2 linked regions of the Stegostoma tigrinum genome follow. The protein of the gene in region 1 purifies or fractionates together with the protein of each later gene. This does not show direct contact. Links are inferred from orthologs where the notes say so. Each region holds a gene or a part of one and is shown on either strand. Other genes may lie near its edges.

Region 1 (7,673 bases):
GGAAAAACTGATCTCCCTTATAAATTGAACTCCTAATTCTTCTGAACTGATACTTTGAATCTTCTGGCATTTGGTTTATTGTTAACTCAGTAATATATAAACATTCTATCTATCAACACTGAGGGGAAGTTTTCCCAGGCACCTAAATACAGTCACATGCTTTCTTGATGATGATGCACCAAGTCACTGTTTAACATAACATTCTGACCTGTTTTTAATCAAAAATCTTCACAGAACTAACCCACAACCATCGGCATCTATTTAAAACCTACATATTATATACCTTTCATTACAGTTTCAGGCATTATTTTTGCATAATCAAATAAAAACATGGTGAGGATGCATTTCATTTCTCAATTTGGGAAATGAAATACCAAAGTCTCCTACTTAGGAAAAAAAATCATTACTTCCACGGTATGTCAGTTCTTTTCTTGAAATCTACAATACTTTAAAGGTCCAGTCAACTTTTGTTTTAATATTTCTGCCTGTACTTGAAAACCCATTTACTTTGCTCAGTGTCAACTTTAAACATTTCCCATGATAGAAATTTCACAAGCCAGATAAAAGAGTAGCACTCCCCTCATTCTACCTCAACCGGGTAAATCAACTTCACTGAAGCAGTATCTATTTTCCCTTGCCCACCAGCAATCCTCGTGGTCTCATGACACTACAAATTCTATATCAATTAGTTATTTGCTGAGCAGTTGCTTTGAGGTCGTTTGATTTAAACATTTGTTTTTCTAGGCAGATTAGAGAATTGTAGAACTGCAGGATGTGATATTGGTAGGAAATGATGAGGACATAAAATTTAAATATGAGAATCAGAAATTTCAATTGGAGGTGATGGGGTACAAGTGTATATCAGCAAAGTCAGGTGTGATAGTTGGACTGAAGCTATAATTAAAATCACAAACATAAAGAAAAATAGAGTGGGTAGGCAAGATAGGATCAAGATAGAAATGTTAAAGAAAGGCAAAGTAAAAAAGAAATCTAAAACAGTAATACAAGTCGAATATACATGTAAAAAAGAAAATTGTGCTACAGAGATGCTTGGCAGTAATGAAGTACAAATTCATCAAAAAATTGCTTCGACTCATACAGCACGTAAAACAAACCCTTCAGTGCAACTCCTCCATTTGACTAGACATCCCAATCTGACCTAGTCCCATTTGCCAGCATTTGACCCATATCCCTTTAAATGTTTTATATTTATATAACCATCCATTTCACTTTTAAATGGTATAATTGTACCCCCCTTCACCACCTCCTCTGGCAGCTCATTTCATACACTCACCACCCTCTGTGTGAAAAAGTTGCTTCCTTTTAAATCTTTCCCCTCTTACCTTTAACCTATGCCCTCTAGATTTTGTGTAATTCGCGAATGTTTAATTGTTAAAGGATATCTGCAGTCTTGTGTGAATTTGTGTTAGTGGCTAATTACCACAGTAACTGCCTGCAAATGTAAACATCTGATGTATCAAGCCCAGATTTCTTTTTGGGATCTGACTTGTCTAGGATCAACATCAGCTTGGATCATAATGGCTGATTATCAGTAGCACTAGCTCCAAGTGGAGATGAACACCTTCATGAAAATCACTTCTAAAAATTGAGAATTAACATGCAAATTGTCTTAAAAACCTAAAGTAAAAGATACTGTAATGCCAGTTTAGTCCAGGCAGAATTTTTAACTTTAATAGAAGTTAATCTATCGTAAATCTACTAAAAAAAACTGTTGGTTCTTTAACTAAAATGGTCGTTTTCACTGGTTAAGTATGATAACTGTTTCACTAAATAAAGATATGCCATGATGAACACAGTAGGGAAATAGTTTCACATTCACAGCTGAGTACCATATCATTTGCCAATTTTGGAATAAATCTATTTTTGGCTACAGATTAAGAAACAGGTTCAGATTATTTAAGTTTACTTTAAATTAGGACCTTGCTCTTTGCATAATGAGGACATATCCATTACCGATTATTAAGAATATGAAAACTGTTGCTCAAGGTAAAACAGTCTCCTAATGTACATTGTGCCTGCACCTTGTGTCCTATTGAAAGTAAAAAGGAAAGTTTTTAAAATTCACCAATCGTTTTTGTATTTACATTAAGGAACAGAAGCAAAATGTTTGTGTTTCATGGTATCCTTACATCAAGCTTTCCAATTTGAGATGAACTATACATGTTTTATTTTGATCTGTGAGTTTAATTATTTACAGCTGTGAAGGGGATTTTCAATCTGTCTGCCAAAATCCTGTTGACTGTATGATTTTTAAAAATCCTATTATAGCTACAAACAACTGTTAAAATTCGTTGGGGTTAACATAGGCGGACATGTGTGCATTTATTTTTCCAGGGCTTGGACATTCCCCTCATTCCCCATAGCAGTTAGTATGATCATCTGTAACACTTGATAGGAAATGAAGACTGATGAATTTCTTTAATCCCTAAATGAAGCATCGATTTTCAGTGCAAATAAACAGTAGAACAGAAGACAGCAATAATTTAGGGCTCTTAAAGGAACATTCTTATTGAATCTCTTGAAAGAAGCGAATGTTATTTTGGAACAGAAAGTATAGCAAAGAAAAAATACTAATAACTATTTTTGGCATTTCCAATGTTTACTAAAATTGGATTGCGCAGTTGTATTTTTCGTGGTCTCGCATATTCCCTTTCGCGTAGTATTCTGTGTTGAACAAGGTGGCATAGCAAGGGCGATACGAAAAAATAACCTAGCGTTATAGCCTTACTAGCATTCAGAGCTTGATCAATCTTGGGGAATTGAGAGTGGGCGTCTCAAAATAATAACTACTTCTAAAAATAAGTCCATGCGATTTAAACGAGGCCTAAGGTATCGTTATTTCAGACAAAATAACAGTGGATGCCCTCTGCCCTCGTGGTGTGAGCGGAGAGGGAGTTAGAATGTTCTTAAGTAAATTTACATTAACTATCTCACACTAAAAGCTCAGATGGAACAATGACTTCAATGTCATAATTCTGTTTTATTTTTTCAATTCTGCGTCGTGACTTGCAGTGCGTTTTTTTAAAATCGGTGGGCACGATACCATGCGTCGATAAAATGCTTAATAGTCTGTTGAGCCAAGATCCTTTGAAATGCATTTTCCATTTTTTCTTGATGTTGTTTCATGGTCGGGAACAGAGGAATAAACCGTTCACCTCATTATTTTTAAAGGGGTTAATAAATTATATAAAGCTGTAAGGTAGTCGCACGTTTTGAAGCTTTTTTTGAAATAAAAACTGTTTAACAATCCTTTTCAAGTTCCGAATTCCAGTTGTACTACTAAGATGCTTAAATACTGCAGTTTTGATATTTAAACACATTTCCGTTTTGTCAGCTTCTGGTGACACTTGCTTACATTAAAAAAAACTCTTGTGAAGTTGTGTTTACCCTGATTAAAACATTGAGTTCCCCCCAGGAATGGGATCTGAGTGTGCCACGGATCATTTCTTTTTATACAAGGTGGGGGAAGGGTGTAGTGTGAGATTTAAGTTCGACTTTAGAATGCAAGACAAAATTATTTTTCCTTTCGGAATTATTTTAAATGAATAAGTTAAATGAACTTATAGTTCAGTAACTGATATGTGTTGGGCAAATGTGGATCCGTTTCAGTGTTCACGGAAATGCATTACGTTAAAGGACAATTTAGATATGTTTTAAAATATTTTTTCCAATTGACTTTTTTTTCTGCTCTCTTTTAGATTACCTACAACCATTACAAGTTCGAGTTAAATTAAACAGTAACCAAGTAGTTATTTATTTTATAGTGCTGACGTAGCTTTCGAAGTTGATGGCCCACATCCATGTTAATAATTAAACCGTACTGTACTGGAAAAACAAGCAGCAACTCCCTCACCTCGGGGCTCGCACCATTGGGTAACTACTTTCATGAAAAGTAAATAGAAGCGTTCATTGGGAGGGAGCTTTTCGTTTTCGATTGAAGTTTACACGCACAAAATTGCACAACAGGAAACTAGCATTAGGCTGGTTATATGTGGGTGGAAGTTGCATAATTTGCTAGATATTTAGCTGGTGTTCTAACCTATGAAATTATTTTATACTTTTCTGACGTTATGATGACTCGATTTTACAATTTTCCCATCATGCTTCAAATTGCTAAGATTGTCGTATTAAAAACGGACCCTTTGCATTAGTATAGCGTCAGCCTTAAAAGTACATGCACTTGGTATTGAGCAGATTCCTACCAATAAAATGGGAGCCTACAAAACAATCGAGCTGCTTCAGTCCAGAATTAGCAGCAGAGAATGAAATGTCTGCTCATTGAGTGACTCGGTGCAAAACGCTAGGGAGTTGCGACATTCTGAAGGGAACTGAACTAGAACAAGCCCTGACGTCATGGGGCGGGACTAGAGCTGCAGCTGGGGGGGGCGGGGGAAAACCTAGACTGATTTAATATACTGTATAAAGTGCATACTTAAATAAGTAATTACTTTCTATTGTCAAGTGTTGAACTTTTAAGACGGTTAAAGGAATTCCTGTTATCATAATTTGTTTCTCGATCTGTTCGACTGGGTGAAGTACTCAAAAGCTAATTGTTTAGTCAAGTAAATGTTATTTAATTTCTATTCAGCTGTAACTGGTGTGTTGGAATTTTGTAGTTTAAATTTAGAACTTTACATTTATATACCAGCTGTACTGGTAACTAATTTTGCTTTTGAGCATAACTTCCGTGGTTAATATTTCGAATTATCACGGACCTATCCTAATAGACATTCCCGCAGTGTATTCTGGTAACTGAATTGTTACAATGGACAGTTAAAACATTTTTTGGGCCAGGAACCAGTTTCTATTCCGTTACAACCGTAATCTGTCTGAAATTGCTAGGTGTTTTGGAGTAAATCATGTGCACGATGATCCGGCTACTCTCAGGGACAGGGGCTGAGAGACTGGACTGTACATTCCTCAGAAATGCTTTTGGTGTGTTTGCTGGATAGAGTCAAATCCGCAGTGTTTGGTTCTGTACAGTAGTATACGAAGAACCAAACTGCTTTAGTGACTACGTATGCATATAAAGTTTTTTTTTAAGGAATAAAGTATAGTTTTGAAACTTTGATAAAGGGTAGTCAGCCGAGACAAGCCACATGCTTTAGACGGTGGGGGTGGGGAGTGAGGCTGCGCTTGCGTATTGGCTGCAGAGCGGCGGCTGACGTCACGTGGTGCTCGGAGAAGCTGAGTGGCGGGGCCGGGAGGAGAGGAGAAAGCAGACAGAAGAGCAGGAGAAAGGCAAAGAAAGCGAGGGAGCCTAGGCCTGGCCATAATACCGTACGAAAGGGCCACCGCGGAGAGACCCAGAAAACAATCAAATCTGAACATCTTCCGCATCATGTCCGCTGCACAGGTGTCTTCGTCCCGGAGACAGTCGTGTTATCTCTGCGATCTGCCTCGCATGCCGTGGGCCATGATCTGGGATTTTACTGAGCCCGTCTGTCGCGGCTGCGTCAACTACGAAGGGGCCGATCGCATCGAGTTTGTCATCGAGACGGCGCGCCAACTGAAGCGGGCTCACGGTTTCCAGGAGGGCCGCTCGCCAGGGCCGCCTCCTGTCAAAGTGCAGTCCTTGGGTGGCAGCAAAGAGGCGGCTCAACAGCTCAACCACGTCGACGGCTCGTCCAAAGGGCCCCAGCCGCCTGTCGATCGCTATTCTTTGAGCGAGAGACCCCGATTCGAGTACCCGAGCCTCGCCCATGCTGGCAGGCTTCCCAATGGCCTGAGTGGACCCAACGGATTCCCCAAACCTGAGGACATTCCGCCGGAACTCAACCGCCAGAGTCCCAATTCATCACGAAGAAATCATAACATCGTGCCCCCGGGCCCCGTCACAGTGCCGCCCAACTTGCTGCCGCAGACCACTTTAAACGGTCCGTCCGCAGGAGCTCTGGGTCCACACGGGCTGCTAAGCAGGCCGTCTCCTTCCAGCAGCTTGGCCGGGACATCGGTGACGGTCAGTAGTCAAGTCCTGAGTGATGTGAACAAACGGCCAGGCTCAGTGTCCAGCAGTGACCAAGAGAGGGAACTCAAAGAGAAACAGAGAAATGCCGAGACTCTGGCTGAGCTGGGCGAGAGCTTGAGAAACCGCTCTGAGGACTGGGTCAACAAGCCCAAGATCGTGCGGGAGACGCTGCTCACCCTATCCAACTGCAATCCCTTCGATGTGCGCTTTAAGAAGGATCACTCTCTTTTGGGCCGGGTATTCGCCTTCGACGCCGTCTCCAAGCCCGGCATGGACTTCGAGCTGAAGATCTTTATTGAGTACCCGAGCGGTTCGGCCAATGTCTTCTCCAGCGCCTCGGGAGTTGCCAAGCAGATGTACCAGGACTGCATGAAGGATTTCAGCAGAGGCCTATCGTCCGGTTTCAAGTACTTAGAGTATGAGAAGAAACATGGCTCGGGAGACTGGCGCTTGCTGGGTGACCTGCTGCCTGAGTCGGTGCGTTTCTTTAAGGAGGTGGTGGGGGCCGATATGCTGCCGCAGCCCCATATAGACGCCAATTGCCCCATTTTACCCACCGCCCTGTGTAATATACCCCGGCCCCCGCCCAACAGCTCGAGAACTGGGATGCGCAAACGCAAAGCGTCTCCTGAACCCGATTCGGAAACAGGCAGTGTAAAGCTGGAAGAGCGGCAGCAGCAGTGGCTGTCCAACCAAAATGAAGCCTTAAAGCTTACTATGGCGGCATCAGGCAGTTTTGGCTCAAGTGGTGTGGCTCATGGGGGTTCCGCTCTGCCACCCAACCGGACCACCCCTCCCGAATGCAGCGCCCAAAATGGACAGTCGCCCATGGCTGCCCTCATGTCCGTGGCCGACACCCTTGGAAATGCCCACTCTCCAAAGGACAGCAGCAATTCGGTACATTCAACCACGAGTACCAGCACTCGGAGGAATAGCAACAGCCCCGTGTCCCCTGCCTCGGGTGGTGGCCAGCGCCGCATGGTGTCCAGGAACGGGGATGCTGCACTGTCCGTTGCACCACCTAACAACCATCCCAACCCCAGCATTGACCCCGTTCATCCCCCAAACATTCCAGACTCACCAATGGCCAACAACGGGCCCCTGTGCTGCACCATTTGTCATGAACGTTTGGAGGATACTCACTTTGTGCAATGCCCATCAGTGCCCAATCATAAATTCTGTTTCCCATGTTCTCGGGAAAGCATTAAGGCGCAGGGGGCAAATGGAGAAGTTTATTGCCCCAGTGGAGAAAAATGCCCTTTAGTAGGTTCGAATGTCCCTTGGGCATTCATGCAAGGAGAGATTGCTACAATCTTAGCTGGGGACGTTAAGGTCAAAAAAGAAAGAGACCCATAATTTCTTAACTTCAGTAATTGAAGTAAAATGTGAATAAGAACTAAAAGAAAGTTAGTCTTATGTATAGACATTTTTCATTTCCATCGTATGTTTCTATATTTTGAAACAAGGTATGTACTCTTCTTCATTTGAAGGATGAACCTGGTTTTGTTTAAAGAATATCAGATATTATTGCTTAATACTGTTTTCACTTATGGCAGTGTGTTGGCTAGGTACAGAGCATAGCACTTAGCAATTAACGCTGCTGGTGTGTTTTTGTAAATGTATGCACTTCGCTGAATTGCCAAGGCCAGTGTTGACGTCTGCAGAAATGCAAACAAATTGTTAC
Region 2 (7,804 bases), on another chromosome or scaffold:
TGAAAATGTACTGAGTATTTCAGAGTTGCTGGAAAGGCGTGAGAAAGACTCCCTTTTAAGATGAAGGATAGCCAAAAATATGGAGAAACATCTGTGACTGGAAGCCTGGTACATAATATAATTCAGTAAACAATTTTCTCTTGGAGATCAAAATTGCCTTTTTTCTCACACACGTTCTGAAATGCTATAGTCAGAAAATGTGACATTCTTTTGAGATGCAAATAGCATGATATATAGCCCATTATCACTTCCAACTTCTATTGAAAAGTTGTTCACAGTTACTAAACGGGCTCCCAAATACTTGATCAACATTTAACTGTTCTACCTGGTCATATGGTATTAGTTTGGATTTTTGCTGAGAAAATTCAAGGACACTTTATTTTGGGAAAAGATCAAACTGAGTTTTCTGAAGACTGGTCCAGGCCCGAAACATCAGCTTTCCTGCTCCTCTGATGCTACTTGGCCTGCTGTGTTCATCCAGCTCTACACCTTGTTATCTCAAACTGAGTTGACAGTTGAGTTTCACATTGTAAGAATTGAGCAGTTTCCTTTCTTCTGATGGACCAGGAGCCGCCTTTTGGTTTGTGTTGATGGCAGTTATTTTCAAATGTCAGTTCTGAATTGGAGCTTTGGGTTTGAATCTGAAGTATCAATCCAGGTCAAGAGATAACAAAGTGTGAAGCTGGATGAACACAGCAGGCCAAGCAGCATCTTAGGAGCACAAAAGCTGACATTTCGGGCCTATCTCAGATTCTCCAGCATCTGCAGTTCCCATTATCTCTGATATCAGTCCAGGTCACTTGTTCGTCTCATCAATCTGACTGAAAATTAGACATTTCCCAAGTTATATTAATGTCTATAGGGTTGATGTGTAAAGTATACAGATAAAATCAGTGTCGTCTGACTATCTGACCAATATTTACCATCACCTAAAATAGGTTATATGATCTATTTAATTTTATGGTCAATGGAACCTTTTGCACAAATTGACTCCCCATAGTTTCCACTTTGTAACAGTGACTACACTTCAAAACTACTTCATGAGATATAAAGAATGTTAGATTGTCCTGAGGGGTTGTGAACAACACCTAATATAAAGGCAGGAGTTTTTTAAACTTAGTGGTTTTTAATATTTAGTTATGTTACAAAAAACATCATTTTTGTATAAGCCATATCAGGTCTGGTAATACTTAGAGCATTACTTCTTTCCTTTCTTTCTCCTGCACACTATTTTGGCGGGAAGCAAAGTCCACTTAAACCAGAGTGATCCAGCCTTGTAAAACCTGATCTGCAGCTTTGTGCAAACTGGCTTGACATCTTTATGTTCACTGCTTCATCTCTCTGCAAAGGGATAAAAGGAGAGGTCATTTTCAGTGCTATCGTCAGTGATCTGAATACTCTTTCAGTTCCAAAAAAACTGGAACAGATTTAAATGGAGGCAAGGTAGAAATGAAAAGACGAATAGTGGAAACAACAGTCGGCTTTGTTAAAGTACAGCTAAAATTAAGACAGAAAAATTGCTCATGCATAAGTCTGTGGAATTTCCATCTGTTTTGCATGAGAACAATTTCTCATATGCAGATATTACACTCGGAGATAGCAGGAACTGCAGATGCTGGAGAATCTGAGATAACAAGGTGTAGAGTTGAATGAACACAGCAGGCCAAGCAGCCTCAGAGGAGCAGGAAGGCTGATGTTTCGGGCCTAGACCCTTCTTCAAAAAAAGGAAGAAAGGTCTAGGCCCGAAACATCAGCCTTCCTGCTCCTCTGCTGCTTGGCCTGCAGATACAACACTGTTGTTTGGCATCTAAACCTGGATACAAAATTGAAGTGTGCTTTCTCATCAAACAACTGATTGGGAATGTGATTAAACTTAAGTTCAGCAGCCTTGTTTCCATAATTGAGGCAAGTAGATTGAAGTAGCCAGATGGTCAACCTAAGATTGACCAGTAAGCAGCGCTAGAATGGCCATAATGAAAGCAAATCTAACTGGTGTATGTGAGAGAGAATCCAAAATGTTAATGATGTTTACATTATTTGTGTATGAATAATTCTCAGTTGAAATGAATTTCCCATTATTTTTGAAGATTTCTATTTTTAGTTTGGTTTTATGAACAAATTCAGCCCTTCAACAAAGGCATCTTGTATTTGCTTTTGAATATACAACAATTCTAACTGAGCTTGGACTTCTAATTTAGATTAGATTAGATTCCCTACAGCGTGAAAACAGGCCCTTTGGCCCAACAAGTCCACACTGCCCCTTCATATATCCCACCCAGATCGATCCCCCTATAACCCACACACCCCTGAATACTACGGGCAATTTAGCATGGGAAATCCACGCAGACACTGGGAGAATGTGCAACTCCACACAGACAGCCGCCTCAGGCTGGAATCGAACCCGGGTCCCTGGTGCCTTGCTAACCACTGAGCCACCGTGCCGCCCAAATGTATACTTTGTCAAATAAATTTGTCTGTTTTAACTCCACTAGTTAAATGATCATTTTAATCGTTATTCCTTTTTAATTGGTTTTCTATTTTAAAAGGAATACCATTCAGAGATCCACTTTGTAACAGGCACAATGATTGGTGAGTGGTTTCCACATGGGAGAATGGGTCAGGATATAAAATTTTGCAGTTGCAGGTACATTTAGGCCTGAGCCAAGTTTTTCTGTAAGCCCTGTGCATATCTTCAGTTAATATGGGGTACAGATTTACATTTATGCTATGTATCAGTCTTGTGCATACATTTCTTCTGGTCAGATCCTTGGACATACTACTCTCGGACATCTGGTACACTTTGCAGCTACATTTTCCATTCCAGTAATTGTGATTGACCCGGATTAAATCACGTGCAACTGAGTGAGAGCACTGACAGTTCCTTCTGTGCCCCACCTACCCAGCCATTTTTTTTTGTTTTCCTGGCTGAACAAAGGAGAAATATTAGCTGCAAATAGGGATGTGCAAACTGCAGCCTTTTATTAACAGTGGAATTTGGATAAAAATGTTATGAATTAATATAATGCACAAAATAATGTGGTAATAGAAAAAAGCTTAATGGGCACAAAACTGTTGTGGAGGGCTTTTAAAAAATCCTTTGCGTTTGGAGATGTGCATCTTGCTTTGAATGGTCACAGTGGATCTAGTATCAAATCAACTTAATGCTGCATGTTTTTATTTGCAAGCACAACTGTCGATCTTCTGATCCAGTGATGTTGACCGGTAGCCCCAGTACCACGTGTGGCAAGTGTGTTGTTGAAGTCTGGATTGTGCTTCTTTATTTTGTTTTAATCATGTAGGCTAGAGTGATTGATTTTAAAAAAAAGTTGATGTTGCTTTCAGAGATAATGGGAACTGCAGATGCTGGAGAATCCAAGATAACAAAGTGTGGAGCTGGATGAACACAGCAGGCCCAGCAGCATCTCAGGAGCACAAAAGCTGACGTTTCGGGCCTAGACCCTTCATCAGAGGGTCTTTGTTATGTTGATTTGTTTTGTTAGTTGGATAAATTGAGAGTCAAAACATTTTAGATTTCTAATGTTTGACTGTTAATGGAGAAACTGGTAGCCACCCTTCCAGGTGCAGTGATGCTCAAGAAGACTACATTTTGGATACCTCTCCTGATTTATTGAATATTACTAAGGCAAAAGCAATTTATTCTCATTTTGTAAATTCCATTGCCTAGATTTTATCCTCCTTTTGGGCCTTGATCAATTTTTACTTCCTTTTTTTGGGACTAATCATAATTCTCATGAACATCTAATTTCATGTGAATAAACCTCTGTTATTCTAATCAGAATGAATTGAGAGATGTTACACACAGTTTCAGTAAGTCCTATTTCATGTTCATTTAATTCTCTGTCTGGCACATTTTTATTTTTGTAGCTTTTTCACATCTGTTGGATCCTTCCTGGGGAGCAAAAGTAACTTGGCAAACATTAGGTTAAAATTCCATGGGGAGGAGGGGTGGAAATTCTATACATAGCTGTTCAGCTGGGCAAGGGAATAGATGTAATTGAATTTTGCTGCCTCAAATGAATAAGCAGTCAGGAAGGAAAAATTGGAAATGCATCAAAATGCTGTCTGATAATGAGGCTATGACTTGTAAAAAGTCACATGAATATCCTGCATGTGGAATGTGTAGTATCTGGTTCGAGAGACAAAAACTAAATTAAATGTATTCAAACTGCTGCTGAACTTTTTTTCAGAAAAGTCTAGATTTATCAGAGTATTCCTTGCCAAAGTTATGATGTCATCTTGGTTGCCATGGAGTGTGGTTAGACTGGAGGAGACAACCCAGCCAGTAAAATAGGACATTTGTTTGGTGAACAGCACTGTGGTTTCCCTTCACTGAATGCAATGGGGAAAACTATCAACAATAAATCTCTTGAATGTTCAGCTCGTCTCTTTTTTTCTGTTTTTTTTGTACTTTGAGGAAGAGGTGTGGGCCTTGTGGCAGACTTGGGTATATGCACTTATTTTTCCCATGTAGGCAGGGTGTGAGCGTCTGTTTGGAGTTCAGTTTTATGCCTATGTATATATACTGTCGAGCATTAACAGTGTCCAATAATCTCATAAAGTTTAGTTTGGCAAGCTGCTTTTTCCTCTGCCACAGCCCTTACGGTGCGGAAAGAAAAACAACATTTCCCACAGCAATACTGAGTTATATTTCTCATTGCAGTAAAGCAATCAGCAAATTTTATGCAAATTCTAGTGTTTGCATCCATTTGTGGTACATTTTTAGTGTGAAACTAGTGAAATGTTCATTGACATGTCGTGTACATTTTTGAAGTCTTTAATACGCAAGCATATTTAACTCTTTGCGGAGCTAGGTTGTACTTGCAACTTGCTGTAGAAAGGACAGTGTTCAAGGCGTTTAACTTTTTAAACATTTGATCCGTAGGCGAAGCTGCACTCCGGAGTGACGGTAGGATGCAGTCAATCCCAGTGTCCTCTGCACTCACCAACCACCGCACAGGACCTCCACCCATCAGCCCCAACAAGAGGAAATTCAGTGGGGACCAGGGAGGAGATGATATGGAAAGTGAGAGTGAACATGCCTCTAAAACAAGCAGATTATACGTTCAAGTGTAAGTATTTCTTGACTAGAAGCATTCCCCATGCTGCAAACTGGATTCCTGTGTTATGCTAATTTAAAAAAATGGAACTGGTTGAAGCAGGTGGAGCAACCTGAATGAAGAACAGATTTGGCAACTATTAGTCTCCCTGAGCTCTAGTATATGTGTGCACTTATATTAGGTGGTTCTTATGTTACTGAACAAAAATTTGAAAAACAGTACGGAGGTTAAAAGAAATCTCATAGCTTAATAGTGGACTTGCCCAGGTACTGTCTGTACACATACTGGTGTCCATCATGCTTAAGTCAGAAAGAGCTCAGTGTATTCAGACTGTAAATCTGTCCAGAATGTGTGTCCCTTTTTTTCTTAGTCTTCCAGTATAAAAACAGAAGTGAATGACAATTCTTAACTTGTATTTGAAGAGATGACTATAAGGATATGGAGTATGTTATCCTCTGAAATCACTATATCCACCATTGTACTGTGGCTTATTTTTCTTCAGACCGTCGCAATTATTTTTGTACACACCACCTTTTCTTTCATTTTATGCGATAATGTTGATGTCTACCACGTTCTTTATTTCACTTGGCAATGTGGCTTTAGGCGCTCTGAATCCTTTCTCACTCTGTCACAGATTGCACTATACCCCTGTTGTAAAGCCTAATTCTTGTCTCCCCGGACCTGTCATATGACATTGCTTCATGGATGCTGGATTCCCTTTCTTTATGTTTTGTATAACAGAGTATTCTCCTCCCTGTTTTATTAATCTGCAGTATTGTGATCCGTAACATATGCTGTATGACACACTTTAATGTCAAACAACCTCTGCCCTTGCTCTGTCACTGCACGCTATTCACCTTTTCTAGCTTCAGTACGTTCTGCTGCAGCTCAGAAGTGCTCTGGCAATTCATCTAGCTGACTTTGACAGGTCACCCCAACCCTTCACTTGCTACTTGATGAACAGAAATGCCATAGAAACACCATTCCTGCGCGTTTGTTTCTCTCTCTCTCTGTCTCTCTCTCTCTGTCTCTCTCTCTCTGTCTCTCTCTCTCTGTCTCTCTCTCTCTGTCTCTCTCTCTCTCTGTCTCTCTCTCTGTCTCTCTCTCTCTGTCTCTCTGTCTCTTTCTCTCTGTCTCTTTCTCTCTGTCTCTTTCTCTCTGTCTCTTTCTCTCTCTCTCTTTCTCTCTCTCTCTCTTTCTCTCTCTCTCTCTCTTTCTCTCTCTCTCTCTCTTTCTCTCTCTCTCTCTCTTTCTCTCTCTCTCTTTCTCTCTCTCTCTTTCTCTCGCTCTCTTTCTCTCGCTCTCCCCCTCCCTTTCTCTCTCTCGTGCTCTCTCTCTCTCCCTTTCTTTCTCTCTCTCCCTCCCTTTCCCTCTCTCGCCCTTGCCCTCTCTCTCTCTCTCTCTCTCTCTCTCTCTCTCTCTCTCTCTCTCTCTCGCCCTTTTCCCCACCACCGCACGTATTCTTCCTCCCACACCCTCTCCAACTCTCTTACTGCCTCTCCTCACCCTAAGACACGAGCATTTTCAGGAGTTGGTCTGCTACTTCTCGGTAGAACAGGGGTGAGCAATAACTGTATTTTACTAGACAGTTTCCACTATTTAACCGTATGCGAGGTACCAATTATTAGAATCTGAGAACTTGTCTCAACAAAGTGGAGAAAACTGGTGTTGCTTTTCTTGAGCTCTGTCAGAATGTAGCATTCTGCAAGCCTGCGAATGGAATTTTCCACACATGGTTTTGTACACTCTGCAGAGGAAAGAATGCATTCAGTTTTAGTCCTCAAGTGCTAATTTTTATTTTTTTTTATTATATTCGATCTGATCTCCACACGGTTTCCCAACGCCAGTTGTTGCTCGTCCTGGCTTTATCTGCATGAACCCGGCAATTAACGGCAATTTGCCACTGTCTCCGTTATCTCCTAGCATTTGGTTAGATGTGAGCCTTTCTACCCTGGGGTAGACCAGGGGCATATGCTGGGCCAATCATGTTCTTCTGTGATCGTAGACAATGTCATTTGGTTAAAGTGTTAATAAAACCCTTTGTTCTTGTGTTGGTTGAATGGACTTACAGCAGCAGTGGCCCTGTGGTAATAAATGCTGCAAACGGCGTTATTGCACTACACCATTCAAATTAGAAATAATTTCATTTGCATCCATGATCCATGTTGAATTTGTCAATCTCATTTTGGTAGCACTCAATCGGTGCCTGTACTTAGGAGCTAAATAAGGGAAAAATCAACTTCTGTTCCCACTCTTGTTCATGTTTGTGGATATCAGCTGTGATGTGATGGCCCTATCAATTACTACGTCACATACGGTTTAACCAGTTGCGGCCTCCTGCCTCTGCCACCTATGTCCAGTATGAGCCCCACCTCTGAGGCATAAGAAGTGAAGACTTAGAATAAAATGAACTGCACTTGGAAAAATAAATTTGCTATTTACTTGCTGCTTTCTCCATGTTCAGATTTTACTTCATAAAGCAGATTGTAAAAGCACCAATATTCCTTCGGTATGAGTGATATGATAGTAGCACAAGTTTAGAATTATCACTTTAAGGCAGATGTTTTTTTCCTGAACAACAACATTCACTAAGCAAAATGTTTTTGCCAAATCACGATGAATAGTGAAGCAATAGTAGATTTTTTTTTGGAAGTACAACAACTGAAATCATTCAACTTATTTAATCGGAAATTTACAAGTTTTCAATACTACAGCCAACTTCTTCT

The links. Proteins that work in one complex are often made in the same cells at the same time.
Region 2: the proteins of irf2bpl (region 1) and vgll4b purify together in Homo sapiens (affinity purification with mass spectrometry; 3 studies listed by BioGRID and IntAct, counting the BioPlex papers as one, with this or other methods). This does not show direct contact. The link is inferred for Stegostoma tigrinum from reciprocal best matches to the Homo sapiens genes IRF2BPL and VGLL4.

What each region holds. Positions count from the first base shown.
Region 1 is NC_081363.1:50,436,076-50,443,748, forward strand, and holds the start of irf2bpl (probable E3 ubiquitin-protein ligase IRF2BPL), read left to right. Parts: upstream 1-4,439; 5' UTR 4,440-5,362; coding exon 5,363-7,345; 3' UTR 7,346-7,673. UniProt on the Homo sapiens protein: Probable E3 ubiquitin protein ligase involved in the proteasome-mediated ubiquitin-dependent degradation of target proteins. Through the degradation of CTNNB1, functions downstream of FOXF2 to negatively regulate the Wnt signaling pathway.
Region 2 is NC_081364.1:24,110,926-24,118,729, reverse strand, and holds the start of vgll4b (transcription cofactor vestigial-like protein 4b), read left to right. Parts: upstream 1-4,517; 5' UTR 4,518-4,526; coding exon 4,527-4,623; intron 4,624-4,903; coding exon 4,904-5,090; intron 5,091-7,804. UniProt on the Homo sapiens protein: May act as a specific coactivator for the mammalian TEFs.